Linked DNA regions of Stegostoma tigrinum. The protein of the gene in region 1 binds, or shares a complex with, the protein of each later gene. Links are inferred from orthologs where the notes say so. Each region holds a gene or a part of one and is shown in the gene's direction. Other genes may lie near its edges.

Region 1 (7,800 bases):
TAATCATATGGACGTACATGGAATAGTGTAGGTTAGATGGGCTTCAGATCAGTATGACAGGTCGGCACAACATGGAGGGCTGAAGGGCCTGTACTGTGCTGTAATGTTCCATGTTATGTTCTAAAAATTATTTCCTGAGGCTCACATCTAGCGTACACTTTGGCATCGACCAACTGGACAAAGTTAACTATTACTCCAGGGGAAGACGAAGGCAATTTGGTGAGTAGTCTCTGGAACTCTAGGTTATTGCACAGTGCGTGAAGGGTGAAGGAGAAAGTTCAGTGTCAAGAGAATAGAATGAGAAAATGGCCAAACAACTCTTAGTTCATTTCTTCCTGCTTCTCCATCTTCCATGCTTCTTCCCATCTCTGGAATCGACATATAAAGCAGCATTCTATTGTATGGCAATTGAGTGAATGATGTTATTTGTCTTAAATTAGTATTGGTACACACCAGCCTGACCTGTAAGAATAGTGGGAGAGTGCTGATGTATCACCGGTGATCATTGCAAAAATGTATGCCTATGATCGCCTAGCATAATTTACACAGCAAGAGAAAGAATCAGCAGGTGTCAGGAACACAGTTCAGTAATGCTGTGGGCAGTAGCAGGTGCAAAGCTTGAAAACAGAAGGAGCTGCCAATCATAGAATCCCTACAGTGTTGAAACAGGCCCTTTGAGTCAACAAGTCCACACCAAACCTCATAGCATTCCATGCAGATTCATCCCCCATAACCCACCTAATCTAGGGCAATTTAGCATGACCAATTCACCTAATGTGCACTTTGGACTGTGGGAGGAAACCGGAGCACCTGCAGGAAACGCACACAGACACTGGGAGAATGTGCAAACTCCACACAGGCAGTTGCCCAAGGCTGGGATCGAACCCCGGTCCCTGGTGCTGTGAGGCAGCAGTGCTAACCACTGAGCCACCACGACACCCCCTAGTTATTCAGCTGTTGCCAAAGGATATAAGTGAATGTTATATGTCAGTTGTATGAAAGACATGATGTTGGAATGTGACATGGAGGTGGAGGTCTAAAATGAAGAAGCTATCAACATTCTGAATGGAAGCAGGAAAAGTGAAGGATCACAAACTATTCAAACACCAGAACTAAGAGGAATACAAGACCTTTTTCCTTGTGAGCAATAGCACCATCTGAGTGATATCACTTAATTAAGAAGATTTTCACTAAATTAGGTAAAGAAGATTTTGACTGACAGGGGAATAAATTATTTACACAATGAAAGTCCTTTTAGAATTACTATCTCAAATAGAGGAACAAAAGTTTGAGTCTAGGCAATGGTCTTAAGAATAGAAGTACATCTACAGTTATGTGATGAAAAAACTACAAATATGGAGGCCAATAATATTTAGTAGGTGAATTCTGAATAAATTAATTCAAAAATAGCTTGGAAATTCACACATGGATGACAGTGTGTCTTGGATCACAGTGCATCCAAGTGGTTCTTTTCAGATTCGGTTAAATGTGGTTAAGAGAAGGCTCAACAATAGCAATTTGCTTAAATATGAACATTTATTGAGTTATAATAAAAGCTGAAAAAGAAAGAAACATTTATTAAGTAAATAAAAAGAATGATAAAGAGAGGAAAAAAACAATAAGCCTCCCGCCCTTATGCCTGTCAGGGTCCCCTTGATCGAGGGCTGGTCTGGAGGCTGAGTTGTTTCTGGCAACATCTGCAATCCTGATCCGAGGTGAAGTCCAGTGACTTGGAACAAAACTCTCTCTCTTATACGGTGTAACAAACAGCAAGGCAAAGAAAAAAACAATTATAGAAAAACACGATTGTGCTGTCTTCAGCACATACAGGAATGCTCACTGGACTCCTTCAAGGTCGTGCAGCTTTCGAATATCATCATTGACTTTTAGCCCTTTGGTACATCCTATCCAAATTACAATCAGAAATGGAGGTGCTTTCTGGTTTTGGAGACACTGAACAAACGAACAGACAGCCCCATTTTTAAATATGGGGTGGCATAAATACAAGTGTTTCAAAAGATTTGGAGATTACATAACTGAATGATAGAGGAAGTTCTCCAAGAAATCTCATATCTTAGAGAATAGTGGGAAAACTGAGAAGAATCACTGGTGAATTCCTGAAAGCTGTGGCACCAAGGACCGGGGTTCGATCCCAGCCTTGGGCAACTGCCTGTGTGGAGTTTGCACATTCTCCCAGTGTCTGTGTGGGGTTCCTGCAGGTGCTCCGGTCTCCTCCCACAGTCCAAAAATGTGCCCATTAGGTGAATTGGTCATGCTAAATTGCCCTAGATTAGGTGGGTTATGGGGATGAATCCTAAAAAGTGTAGACTCAGTTAGATCCTGCACGTGCAAGGGAACACTTGGGTGGAAATAAAGATCATAAGATATAGGAGCAGAATTAGGCCATTTGCCCATAAACACTATTAACAGGGACTTTGCATTGAGATTTTTGCATTGAAAATCCAACTGTTTACAAAATAGAGTGTTAAACTAATTATACTTGTTCTATTTAGCTCTTGTACAGTATGAGTTCTTTTTGTTTGAAATGTGGATCTATGACACATTATTCTTTCAAATAATAATTGGTAGTTTGAGTTGGGGTTAAATGTTAATAATCTCCTTCAAGATTGTAACATCATTTGAAAAAAATTCAAGCCAAAATGGAAAAATCAGGACAGTGGCACTTTATGCATTTCTCCATCAGAGTATTAGCATAATCAGAATGGTCTTCTTCCGTGCTAAAAACATTCTGTAATCATCTGAAAAGGAAGAATTTGCAGGGAGCAGGGAGAAAGCCAGGTAGTGGAACTAGATAAATTGCTAATGCCTCTGCACACATGAAAGATCAAAAAGCCTTCTCCTGTGCTGGGATCATTCTGTAATTTTGTCTTCTACCTAACCAGATCTGGTTGTGTGGGGTTAAGGTCTAGATGATAGGCATGTTTACCTGGGAGATGGTGCTGCTGTTGGATGAACTTGCTTGACATGGGATTTTAAGCTTCACGTGAAGGTACTGGTGTTACCATAAGACATATGACCATAGGCCATTTGGCTCAAGGAGTCAATTTTGCCATTCAATGAGTTCAGTGGCTGATCTGATAATCCTCAACTCCAATTTCCTGCTGTATCTCAATAACTCGAGAAACCCTTCCTGATCAAAAATCTGTCCGTCTCAACCTTGAACGCTGTAAGACTGTGACCCCTAACCAAGGACAAAGACTCAGGAGATAGACAGGATTCAGGCACGTAGTGGACATTTAGTCAAGCAAAAACCAGTTAATGCAGGGAGAGGGCCAAATAATCTTCCTTGAACCTGGCTTGGACATGAGAACACAATTGTTCCCTTAATCTGCATCTCAGATCAGAAAAGAGATCAATCACATGCTGATTTTTACAGTAAAAATGGAGTATTTTTATACATTTTGTTTTACAATGATCATACACAATGTGGTTACTGTACCCTCACCTTCCTGTCAATAGGACCAATCCTGTAAAACACCTGATCAATGATGGGCATTAGTATAGACAACCCTCGAATCCCTTAGCCTTTTAACAATTACTGTAATCTTTAGACTTTGGGACCTTTCTATGTTGCATTCCAAAGTTACTGGTCGCACTCCTCTGGCCACCTCGTGGCCCGCTCACCTCTGAGGACTGACTGGATTCCACCGTTTACTGCACTTGTCATACTCATCAAATTTTATTACTTCTTTTTAATTTAAAAAAAGTTAATTCTGTTATAAAATTCATATTAAAATTGTGTAATTACTTCTACAGTTAACACTCTTTAGTTAATGAGACAAGATATGCTAGACATCTCTTTAACGTTTTCGTTTGGTGCCTTCATTTTTAAGTTTTATAATGACATTGAAATTTTTCGTGATTTAAAAAAAACCTTTAACTAGAACCAAGTAACACTGTAAACAACTTCAAAGAAACAGCCAATCTGCGAGATAACACATTTAATGACCAGCCTCCACAGTCAAGAATTCCAGATTATTACCATTTGAAAGAAAACAAACTGTCTTAAACAGGCAATTTCTTTACTCTGAGATTAAGCTCTCTGCTCCAAAACTCTCCCACAAGGAGAAACAGTGTCTCCTCATCTACTTTGTTAAGCTCTACAAGAATCTTGTTTCTGTAAGATTGCTTCTCATTCTTCTAAATGTCAGCTACCCAACCAAGTCCAAACTACACGACCTCTCCCCGAAAGACAATTCCCCGCATCCCTGCAATCAACATAGTGAACTTTTCTCTGAATGGTCTCCAATGCCAGTGTATCTTTTCCAAGGCAAGGAGATCAAATTTGTTGACATAGTCCAGGGTGAGGTCTGACTAATGTCTTGTGTAATTTTAGCCACACCTCCCTATTTTTAGGTATTTTCTGATCAACTCAAATGTTTTGCACATGCTGATGGAACTTGAACGGAAGCCTCCTGGCTCAGAAATTAGGTCACTACCACTACACAAGGCTCTACTGATTTTCCAATGCTTTAAACTGCCCTCTGTGGGTTGCCCAAGCGTCTTCAGTTTTTAGTAGCACGGACACCATTGCTGTCTAATAAACCACAAGATCAGACTTGGGTTGCAGGTCCTGGTCCTGAAACACTATTTCATTCAAAAATTAGAGGCGTGATAAATTTGGTCATCTGGTTTATTTGCCGAATGTTTAGTCCATTTCTCTCGTATGCTTTGGGACTTCAAAAAAGTAGCCAGCCTCATCCCGGAGCGAGTGCATACAGAAGCATCACGTAGATTGTTCGGCAGCCCCCTCGATCACTGAGGTTAGTGTACAGCTGGGCTCTGGGACGCGCATGAGCGCGGGGTTCCCATAGTCAGAAGCAGAGCCTGGGGAAATCCCATTGTGACGCATGTGGTAGCGTCATTCGGCACAGCCTATTAGCCAGCCCTTTGGGAACAGTTCGACGTGTCGCTCGGTACTGAAGCCTCGTCCCTCCTCGCCGCGAATCGCGCGGTTTCGGGGCTCTTCAAATGAAGTCGGGAAGGAGGCGGGGAAACGAGTGAGACGGTGGTGTCTGATTGGTCGTTCGTCATGTCAATCGCAGGGAGGGTTACTTGGGCTCGGCCCTTCTGTTTTCTGCACCGACCCGTCAATAGGGTTCAGCACCGGGAGAACTGACCTCAATTGGTCGCTATAGTAACGGGAAAGACGGTTCCAACGTGCATCAGGGTTCCTCGCAAATCCCGACTGGCGACCAACTCCGGCGTGAGAGGAAAGAAGAACGTCGCAGCGATGTCGTTGCTTCAGGGCTGGACGCTGATGGGCGACCGGGACGCATCACCTTTGCTGTTGCCGCCTAGGCCTTAAAAAAAAATGGAGTGCGGGATCCCCCCAATCTACCAGCTTCTGTTCCGCGCCTGCGAAGAAGGAAACTTCGAGAACGCCAGGCGGCTGCTGGAGCCGGCACCGCGAGACGGCGACGAGGAGGATGAGGAGAAGAAGAAAGAGGAGGTAGAGCGGGGCGAGCAGGCGGCGGGCCCGGACTTCAGGGCCCCGCAGGTGCCCGTCGACTGCACGGACGACGACGGCAACTCGGCGCTGCAGTTCGCGGCCGGCCACGGCCACGAGCACCTGGTGCGGTTCCTGCTGATGAAGGGCGCCTCGGTGGACAGCCGCAACCGCTACGGCTGGACGCCGCTGATGCAGGCGGCCCGCTTCGGGCAGCTGGGCGTAGCGCGCGTGCTGCTGGAGCACGGCGCCGACGCCAACGCCGCCAACAAGCTGGGCGCCAGCGTGCTGACGGCGGCGGCGCGCGGAGGCCACGTCGGCCTGGCGCGCGCCCTGCTGGAGGGCGGCGCGTGCCCGGATGCGGGCGGTGGGGGCCGGCAGCAGCGGGTGGGGGAGGGGCAGGAGCCTGCGCTCGCCCCCGCCTTGACACCCCTGATGGTGGCGGCCCAACATGGCGCTGAGCCGCTGGTCAGGGCCCTGCTGGAATGGGGGGCTTCCTGCTCCGGAGCGCCTGCGGGACGCGCTGGGGGCTGGAGCGCCCTGATGCTGGCGGCACTCAACGGCGAGCTGGCCGTGGCCCAGCAGCTGGTCGATGCAGGCTCGGATCCCAATCAGACGAACGTGGGAGGGATGACCGCCTTCGAGATCGCCTGCGCCTGTAGGCAGAAGGAGATCAGAGACTACCTGGATTCCAAGACCACCAATCGGCCCAAATCAGGTAGGGGTTTGAAGGGGATGGCAGCAATGCAGATGCTGGAAATCTGCAATAAACTCAAGACGCTGGAAATAGCAGCACCATCGTAGAGAGAAACAGAATTAACGTCTGCAGTCCAATATGTGCTCAACCTTAAAATAACAGGGGACTTTTTAAAATTCATTCACGGGATGAGAGCGTCGCTGCTAGGCAGCATTTGTTGCCCATCGCTGATTGCCCAGAGGACAGTTAAGTGGCCTGCTGTGTTCATCCAGCTTCACACTTTGTTATCTTGTTCTATTATCTTGTCAATGTAGCTGAAATTGACAACACTTCCAACCAGAAGGTGGTGTATTCGGCTCCAACAAAATCCAGCACTGGCATAGTGTTGTGATATAACAGGTACTTTCCCGATGAAATGTAAATCAGAAGAAATGCCTAACCTTGTGAGAGGATAAGGGTCTAGGCCCAAAACGTCAGCTTTCCTGCTCCTGTGATACTGCTTGGCCTGCTGTGTTCATCAGCTCTGCACCTTGTTATCTCATGTATGAGTATAATTTATGCTCTTTCATAGAGGAACAATGACATTTAGTCATAGAGATTTACAGCAGGGAAACAGACCCTTCATTCCAACTCATCTATACCAACCAGGTATCCTAAATTAATCTAGTCCTATTTGCTTCCTGATATTTATCCTTTATCGCTGATTCTTGTAAAATGGATCACAACATGACAAGCAACCTTTGAGAGATAATGGGAACTGCAGATGCTGGAGATTCCAAGATAATAAAATGTGAGGCTGGATGAACACAGCAGGCCAAGCAGCATCTCGGGAGCACAAAAGCTGACGTTTCGGGCCTAGACCCTTCATCAGAGCTCTGATGAAGGGTCTAGGCCCGAAACGTCAGCTTTTGTGCTCCTGAGATGCTGCTTGGCCTGCTGTGTTCATCCAGCCTCACATTTTATTATCAAGCAACCTTTGAGCTTGCATCACCATTTTATCAGACAAAGACTGGTCTGATTTTCACTTCAATTCCACATTCCTGCATACTCCCAATAATGTTTCATCCCCCTTATAATCAAAAATCTATCTACCGATGCCTAAATTTGGATGGGAATTCAGAAGGTCTGGTTAGTACATCTGTGGGTGGCAAAATTAGTGGTATAGTCGACAGTGAAGAAGGTTATCTAAAGTTACAAAGGGATCTTGATCAATTGGGCCAATGGGCTGAGGACTGACAGATGACATTTAATTTGAATTAATGCAAGAGTTTGTATTTTGATAAAATGAACAAGGGCAAGATTTATACAGTTAATGGTAGGGCTCTAGGCACTGTTGTAGAAGAGAGACATAGGAGTTTAGATACAAAGTTCTTTGAAAGTTATGCCCTAAGTAGGCAGAATGGTTAAGAGGGCATCTAGCATGTTTGTTTTCATTGCTCAGACCATTGAGTGTAAGAGTTGGAACAACATTTTGAGGTTGCACAAGATGTTGGCGAGGCCACTTTTGGAGTACTGTGTACAGTTCTGGGTGGCCTGCTTTGGGAAGGATATTCGTATTAAATTGGAGAGGGTGCAGAAAAGATTTATCAGGATTTTGCTGGGATTGGAGGATTTCAGTTGTAAGGAGAAGCAT
Region 2 (7,819 bases), on another chromosome or scaffold:
AACTTCTCTTTCGATTCCTCCCACTTCCTACAGACTAAGGGGGTGGCCATGGGCACCCGCATGGGACCCAGCTATGCCTGCCTCTTTGTAGGTTACGTGGAACAGTCCCTCTTCCGCACCTACACAGGCCCCAAACCCCACTTCTTCCTCCGTTACATTGATGACTGTATCGGCGCCACCTCTTGCTCCCCAGAGGAGCTCGAACAGTTCATCCACTTCACCAACACCTTCCACCCCAACCTTCAGTTCACCTGGGCCATCTCCAGCACATCCCTCACCTTCCTGGATCTCTCAGTCTCCATCTCAGGCAACCAGCTTGTAACTGATGTCCATTTCAAGCCCACTGACTCCCACAGCTACCTAGAATACACCTCCTCCCACCCACCCTCCTGCAAAAATTCCATCCCCTATTCCCAATTCCTCCGCCTCTGCCGCATCTGCTCCCACGATGAGGCATTCCACTCCCGCACATCCCAGATGTCCAAGTTCTTCAAGGACCGCAACTTTCCCCCCACAGTGGTCGAGAACGCCCTTGACCGCGTCTCCCGCATTTCCCGCAACACATCCCTCACACCCCGCCCCCGCCACAACCGCCCAAAGAGGATCCCCCTCGTTCTCACACACCACCCCACCAACCTCCGGATACAACGCATCATCCTCCGACACTTCCGCCATCTACAATCCGACCCCACCACCCAAGACATTTTTCCATCCCCACCCATGTCTACTTTCCAGAGAGACCACTCTCTCCGTGACTCCCTTGTTCGCTCCACACTGCCCTCCAACCCCACCACACCCGGCACCTTCCCCTGCAACCACAGGAAATGCTACACTTGCCCCCACACCTCCTCCGTCACCCCTATCCCAGGCCCCAAGATGACTTTCCACATTAAGCAGAGGTTCACCTGCACATCTGCCAATGTGGTATACTGCATCCACTGTACCTGGTGCGGCTTCCTCTACATTGGGGAAACCAAGCGTAGGCTTGGGCACCGCTTTGCAGAACACCTCCGCTCGGTTCGCAATAAACAACTGCACCTCCCAGTCGCAAACCATTTCCACTCCCCCTCCCATTCTTTAGATGACATGTCCATCATGGGCCTCCTGCAGTGCCACAATGATGCCACCCGAAGGTTGCAGGAACAGCAACTCATATTCTGCTTGGGAACCCTGCAGCCCAATGGTATCAATGTGGACTTCACCAGCTTCAAAATCTCCCCTTCCCCCACCGCATCCCAAAACCAGCCCAGTTCGACCCCTCCCCGCACTGCATCACACAACCAGCCCAGCTCTTCCCCTCCACCCACTGCATCCCAAAACCAGTCCAACCTGTCTCTGCCTCCCTAACCTGTTCTTCCTCTCACCCATCCCTTCCTCCCACCCCAAGCCGCACCTCCATCTCCTACCTACTAACCTCATCCCACATCCTTGACCTGTCCGTCTTCCCTGGACTGACCTATCCCCTCCCTACCTCCCCACCTATACTCTCCTCTCCACCTATCTTCTTTTCTCTCCATCTTCGGTCCGCCTCCCCCTTTCTCCCTATTTATTCCAGAACCCTCACCCCATCCCCCTCTCTAATGAAGGGTCCAGGCCCAAAACGTCAGCTTTTGTGCTCCTGAGATGCTGCTGGGCCTGCTGTGTTCATCCAGCCTCACATTTTATTGTCTACACCTTGGTATCTCAGATTCTCCAGCATCTGCAGTTCCCACTAACATTGACACACATTCCAGTATCAATTCAAATCCAAATAACAGTCTTCAAGGATTGAGGTTTACGCAAAAGAGCTGATGACATCAGCTACAATTGGAGGAACAGTGTGGCCCCATAGCTTTGGGTGCTGCTGGTCCTTTGGTTCTTCTGGATGACGATGTCTAATGTGTCCTTCTATTTGCAAAGATGTAGCTGCCGAAGAGTTGTCCAGCAGTAGCTGAGTCAGTATGCTTCCACCTTCAGAGAGGGTCAACAGTGCAGAGAGGCCAGGGAGTCCGGCCTCTGCACTAGGCTTTTATGAGCTTGTTGTTTCCAATTAGAATCCTTCTGAACAGTGTGTGCTGCAGCCCCCTCCTATCAGGCTGAGTCACTTACCTTGCCCACTCAGCATGGTTGTAGCCATTTTCTTTCCATTGCACATTTTTGATTTTAAGGGTAACGTAAGGTGATAGTGAGTACTTTACAGTGACTCCCAGCCTCAGCCTGACTATGTCAATGTGTAGTCTAATAGCCTTTCCGAGTGGCCCATTCTGTCAAAAACATCAGATTAACATTTCCACAAGTCCTCACCCAACTCATCTACATTCGTCTACATCTATCTACCCTTTCCACCCAGACTCAAGCAAACAAGGTGAACATGCCTGGTTTGTCATTCATGCCCACGCCTTGAAGCCAGGGTACTACTAACCATGAACAATTGCTCCTCCGTCATAACATATGTCCCAGCTATGCTTTACAACCTGGCACACATCAAAATTCTGCTGGATCCCTCCTCGATTGTAGTGCACCATTTGCACAGTGGGCATTCCCCAGTCCCAAAGGCTAACGTGTTGGTACAAGACTGTAGCCACTATTTCACCCTCACCTGTCCAAACCACTTACTTTCTGAGAATGGAACTGGCAGACTGACAGTGGCCCACTTCCTCAACCAAGGGGTAACTGGACAGTCCCAGGCCAAATGTGCCCAGTCTCTTGACTGCCATCTATACATCTCCCTAACCATATTATTGCTGCCCTTTGGATTGGCTTCAACAATGTCAATAGACTGACCTTGGCCCACATAGATCCTCTTGAGTGAAAACCCACCCAAAGGATGCCTGACATGGTCAGTTGCCTGGACTATATTGAGAAGTTGCCTATGATGTACTGTGCTGGGATCTTCCCTGACAAAGAGGCCCTTGGGCTTCTTTGAAGATTATGCTTCAGAAATTTCTGAAGAAGGGTTCTGACCTGAAACATCAGCTTTCCTGCTCCTCTGATGCTGCCTGGCCTGCTGTGTTCCTCCAGATCCACACAGTGTTATCTCAGACTCCAGCATCGGCAGTTCTTACTATCTCTGGTACATAAAGTTACCCATTATAGATAATCAGAGAAAATTATCATGCATTAACAGAACTGTTCATTACCTCTAGTCAGTTACACTTCTATTAAGTTTTGTACAAGCATTGCCTACAAAGTCTCTCTCAATGCTATGTGTGTGCATTGACATTGGCTGTTTGGTATCTCGTTGCTCCTGGTGTGTCACTTCCATGGCAAGTGCTGTGACTATGGTAACTGTTGTTACCGATTCATTTCCATTGCTAAGGGATGGTGGTCAGCTGCATACAGTGAAGTACAGGATCTTCAGCTGAATGGCAATGTCTACGGGTTGTATTTTTTTAGCCTCCTTGCTGTTTCATTCCGTAATAAGTCTGAAAATTCACTATTTTTCAGTTGAATACTTATTACTGTTTTGGATATTTTCTTTTTACAAGATTTAATGTACACCACATTACTAGTGATAACTGCTTGCTTTGCTGTAGATGCCTGCTGGGGATATTTCAAAAAGGGACTGGCTGGTTTTTGTTTTATCTGGTTCACCATTCAGCTGCACTTTCCTGGCTGCCACAGCTTGCATGTAAAAGCACTCTTAGCTGAAGTAGAGGTCAAACGATTACAACAAGTCATCCAGTACACCAAGTACAAATGCATTTCTCAAAGCAGTTATATAATATATTTTTACAGAAGCAAATATATTTTAAATAAATATTTCTTGAAAAAAAATCTATACAAGTACTTCCTGGTTTGCAAAGCATTTTAGAATTTCTTGTGAACAAGGCTGGAGGAACATTATAGTTCTGATCCCATTACTCCACGCGTCACAACATATAATAGAAATCTTTTTTCCAGGCATCAAAATGGCCAATTAAATGCTTTTTCTATATCATATTTTTAAAAAAATCTTTGAATCAGGTTGCTTAATAAAATACAATTTCAAATTTATCAAAGTACAAGTAATTTAGTAAAGATACAATAATTGGTTAGTGTTCACAGGCAGTAGTAGAGATGTATAAATGTTTCTCGTTCTCAATATCTCCACAACACGCATGCTTCGGGGAAAAGAGAAAAAGAAACAGCAGACATTGGCTATCTGGAAAAATGGGAAAGAAAAACATTTTTGTCAAGAGTTATTCTTAAAGGGAAAAGGATAAAGCAGAAGATGTTCCAATGTGCACTGTTCTGATGTTCTGGCATATGTGGTAAAATCATACATGTCTCTGAAGTCTTGTAAACACAGTTTGCTCATGGAATACAATCTAGCAATGTATTGTCAATCATTCTTTCATAAGAACAAATAAATTCCACTCAACAAGAGAGTTTTTTCAGAAATGAGAGAGAAGAGCTCGGCAGCTTTTTGTTAGAAAGCTCTCCCTGACTCAGCTTGTTCTTAGCAAGCTTCCCTCCAACTGAACCAGATAAAACAAAAACCAGCCAGTCCCTTTTCGAAATATCCACAGCAGACCATGCAAACTTAGCAATAACAAAATTGTTCAGCACAAAGATAAATCTACACCACTTTACTCTTCTGGTACAGTAGTTGTGTCTCTACTTTTTGGTAGGTTCAAGTCGCATCGACTCCAGAAATGCGTAATAAGATTGATCAGAAAGGTATATAAAACTAACAACAGCTAAGAAAGTCCTCCATTGCAGGGGTATGCTGCTGGGCGGAGCAGAGATCTTTAACTCAGCGGAGTACCTTCTTGCATTCATCCTGCCTATCGTTGTTTATATGGCCTCATGTGTATATGATTGGCTGGTGTATGTCACATGCTTGTGTAGCCGGAAGAGAAGCAGCGGTGAGAAAGTGCGGTAGCCATTTTCTGTCCAACGGTGTTACTTTTACTTTTTTTAAAAAAAGGTAGTGATCATCGCAGGGGACGAGCAAGGGGGGCGCAATTGTTTCTTGCGGATGGACGTAAAGATTATTAAAAAAAACTTAGCGCCGTTGGCAGGAGGCCTAGGTACTCTAACCTCTAGCAACAAGCGTCACAACACAGATAGGGGTCACAGTAACCCATAGCAACAGGGGTGACAGTAACCTGTAGCAACTAATGTCACTTACACACCGATGGGACAACTGTAAAGTTCTGAATCTCCTTAGGTTATTTAATCATTTAAAATATCATTTCAGTAGATTAATGGTTCTTCACAAATCCATGACATTCTAATCCTGTCACGATATTCTCACGATGTCCTCGTATTTGGAGATGAGGCATGACTTGTCATTGAGGTTGTTTTTCCGCATGGTCCGTCTATATAGTCTCCGATGTGATCAGTACCTGAGCACAATATCAGGCCCACTGATACGGAATGTAGTTGCCTCCTCTGGCCTTCAAGGGTTGCACTGACTAGGAATTCCCACACCACTGAGCATGTGATTTGAAGGAGGTGTCGTGATGATCTGATCTTTCTGTACAGGAAGGAAATTAGACCAGCATGTCTGAGCTGAGTGATGACTCAAGTGAGACCGAGCTTCTGAATCGCAGCTTGTCCATGTGGCATGGCTTTGAACAGCTAGTTGGCTGTGAGGACCTGGATGTCCCTTTAGACCTTCACACGGCATCATCGATTGGACAGTATGATGTGGTGAAGGAGTGTATCCAGAGGTAAGAGCAGGAAGACTGTTAGTTGCCAGTGAGACCCAATGTGCAAGGATAATAATTTAGCCAGCATAAGCATGTTTACTTAAAGATGTGAATTCTTCCAAATTAACTTTTACTCTGCTTGTAGAAACTATTAAACTGGCTGATTTATGAATCCTCATGTATCATTACATCAGGTGCTTCCATACCTGAATGCTGTCAATTGATCCACCAAATCACTTCAGCTGGAAAGTGCTTATGTGGATTACAGATTGATGGTCAGTATTATCAATCTGTTGATAATTCCACTGAAAATCATTACATCAGCAATCCTAGAATGAAATCTTCATCAGTAGTGCCAGCGTTCAACACACTCCAACAAATCCAAAATCATATCTCACCTTCAGGAACCTGCACACTCTGCCAAAACTAGCCCCAACATAAGAATCCCTATTTAGTGCCTGACACAGTTACAGAAAGTGAAAACCAATGTCAAACTGTAGGGACTGTAACTTATCATCTTGCATTTCAGACAGGTGTTGACGGTACCCGTTGGTCGAGGGAATCTTTAGTGACTGGGTCTGTCTGTGTGTGTGTATGTGTGGACCTGGCTCAGTTGTGTATGACAGGGGAGTGGGAAAGTATCTGGCACTGTGTGTGTGTGTGTGTGTGTGTGCATGTGTGTGTGTGTGTGTATGTGGCTCAGATGGGGTTGGTATGTTTGTGTGCGGACCTGGCTGGCTGTGTGTGGGGGAGCGGGACTGTGAAATTGGAATGATTTGTTATTTGCCTTGTTTAGAGGAAAAGTAAACCCGAATCAGAAGAACCGGGGAGGCTGGACACCTCTGATGTACGCGTCATATATTGGTCATGATACTGTTGTTCACCTCTTGCTGGAGGCAGGAGTGGATGTCAACATGACAACAGAGAGAGGGCAGAGTGCATTGATGTTGGCAGCAAGCTGTGGCAATGAGAGCATTGCCTACTTCTTGCTTCAGGTCAGTATGTTTTGGGGTCAGTGATTATGCAGTGTGGTCTGGGGCAAGTTAGTGGTATAATTTGGATTATGGAAACAGTGATGGAGATAAAGTAGCACCATTCAGGCAACAGAATATCTTGGGTATGTAATGAATGGGATTGAATTGGTGCAGAGACATTAAAAGGAAACTGTGACTATAACACACATCACTGAAAGTTGATAAAATGTGAGGCTGGAAGAACACAGCAGGCCCAGCAGCATCTCAGGAGCTCAAAAGCTGACGTTTCGGGCCTAGACCCTTCATCGGAGAGCTCTGAAACCAATCCTTCGAGAGAGCTCTGATGAAGGGTCTAGGCCCGAAACGTCAGCTTTTGTGCTCCTGAGATGCTGCTGGGCCTGCTGTGTTCTTCCAGCCTCACATTTTATTATCATGGATTCTCCAGCATCTGCAGTTCCCATTATCACTGAACGTTGAGCCAGTGTACAAGGCAATAGAACTGGAATGCTTGGATATGTAGCCACAACAGATGTATATGATTCCACAGCAATTAAATTGATGATGTATAATGCACAGGGCAGCTCTCTTTTTACCATAATGGTTACCTCAAGATCATAGGTGTATTTATCCGGCAGAACTACTGAGCTATTAGGAAAGATTACAGACTACGTCGAGGAGAGAAGATGGTTTGCAGGATATTGTTCAGGATATTAATATTGAGTGGGAAGTTTAGGGGACATATCATTGCAAATGTTTGATGCAAACGAAGCTGCAGAAGTAGAATCAGATATCAAAATTTGGGCTTCAGTGGAAGGTTTTGGACATGGAGGGACTAAGGTGCAGTAGGAGGGTTAGGGTACTCGAAGGATTGGTTTCAGTTGGTACTGGAGGTTTGGGTTTACCTGGAAGTGTTAAGACACAAGAGGGCTGAGATTTGATGAGCTGAATTGCTTTTTCTTTCAAGCAGCAAGGGGCTGAACTGGAACTGAAGGATCACAGAGGCTGGACTGCACTGTTCCATTGCACGAGCACTGGACACCAGCAAATGGTGAAGTTCCTTCTGGATAATGGGGCTGATGCAAATCTAAAGTAAGATACGGGGTAGATATGATTTGCATGTCCTTCATCCTGAGAGCATATTCTTTGTTCAATGTTTTGTTCACTGCTCACACAAATATTAAACATCTGCTAATGCACAACAGGCCTACCTGTATTTAAATGGTTAAT

What was found. The genes of interacting proteins can lie anywhere in the genome.
Region 2: the proteins of ankyrin repeat and SAM domain-containing protein 6-like (region 1) and anks3 are in contact, whole or in part, in a crystal structure (PDB 4NL9), measured with the Homo sapiens proteins. The link is inferred for Stegostoma tigrinum from reciprocal best matches to the Homo sapiens genes ANKS6 and ANKS3. Residues at the interface, in NP_775822.3 of Homo sapiens: Glu796, Gln797, Glu798, Val799, Asp800, Glu802, Ala803, Thr806, Leu807, Asp811, Glu814, Leu815; in NP_597707.1 of Homo sapiens: Lys441, Tyr442, Thr470, Leu471, Phe472, Gly473, Pro474, Arg476, Lys477, Arg484.

Annotation. Positions count from the first base shown.
Region 1 is NC_081355.1:20,773,829-20,781,628, forward strand, and holds the start of ankyrin repeat and SAM domain-containing protein 6-like, read left to right. Parts: upstream 1-4,785; 5' UTR 4,786-5,335; coding exon 5,336-6,188; intron 6,189-7,800.
Region 2 is NC_081376.1:31,370,829-31,378,647, reverse strand, and holds the start of anks3 (ankyrin repeat and SAM domain-containing protein 3), read left to right. Parts: upstream 1-4,809; 5' UTR 4,810-4,994; exon of another isoform or gene 4,995-5,451; 5' UTR 5,452-5,469; coding exon 5,470-5,639; intron 5,640-6,414; coding exon 6,415-6,613; intron 6,614-7,559; coding exon 7,560-7,681; intron 7,682-7,819. UniProt on the Homo sapiens protein: May be involved in vasopressin signaling in the kidney.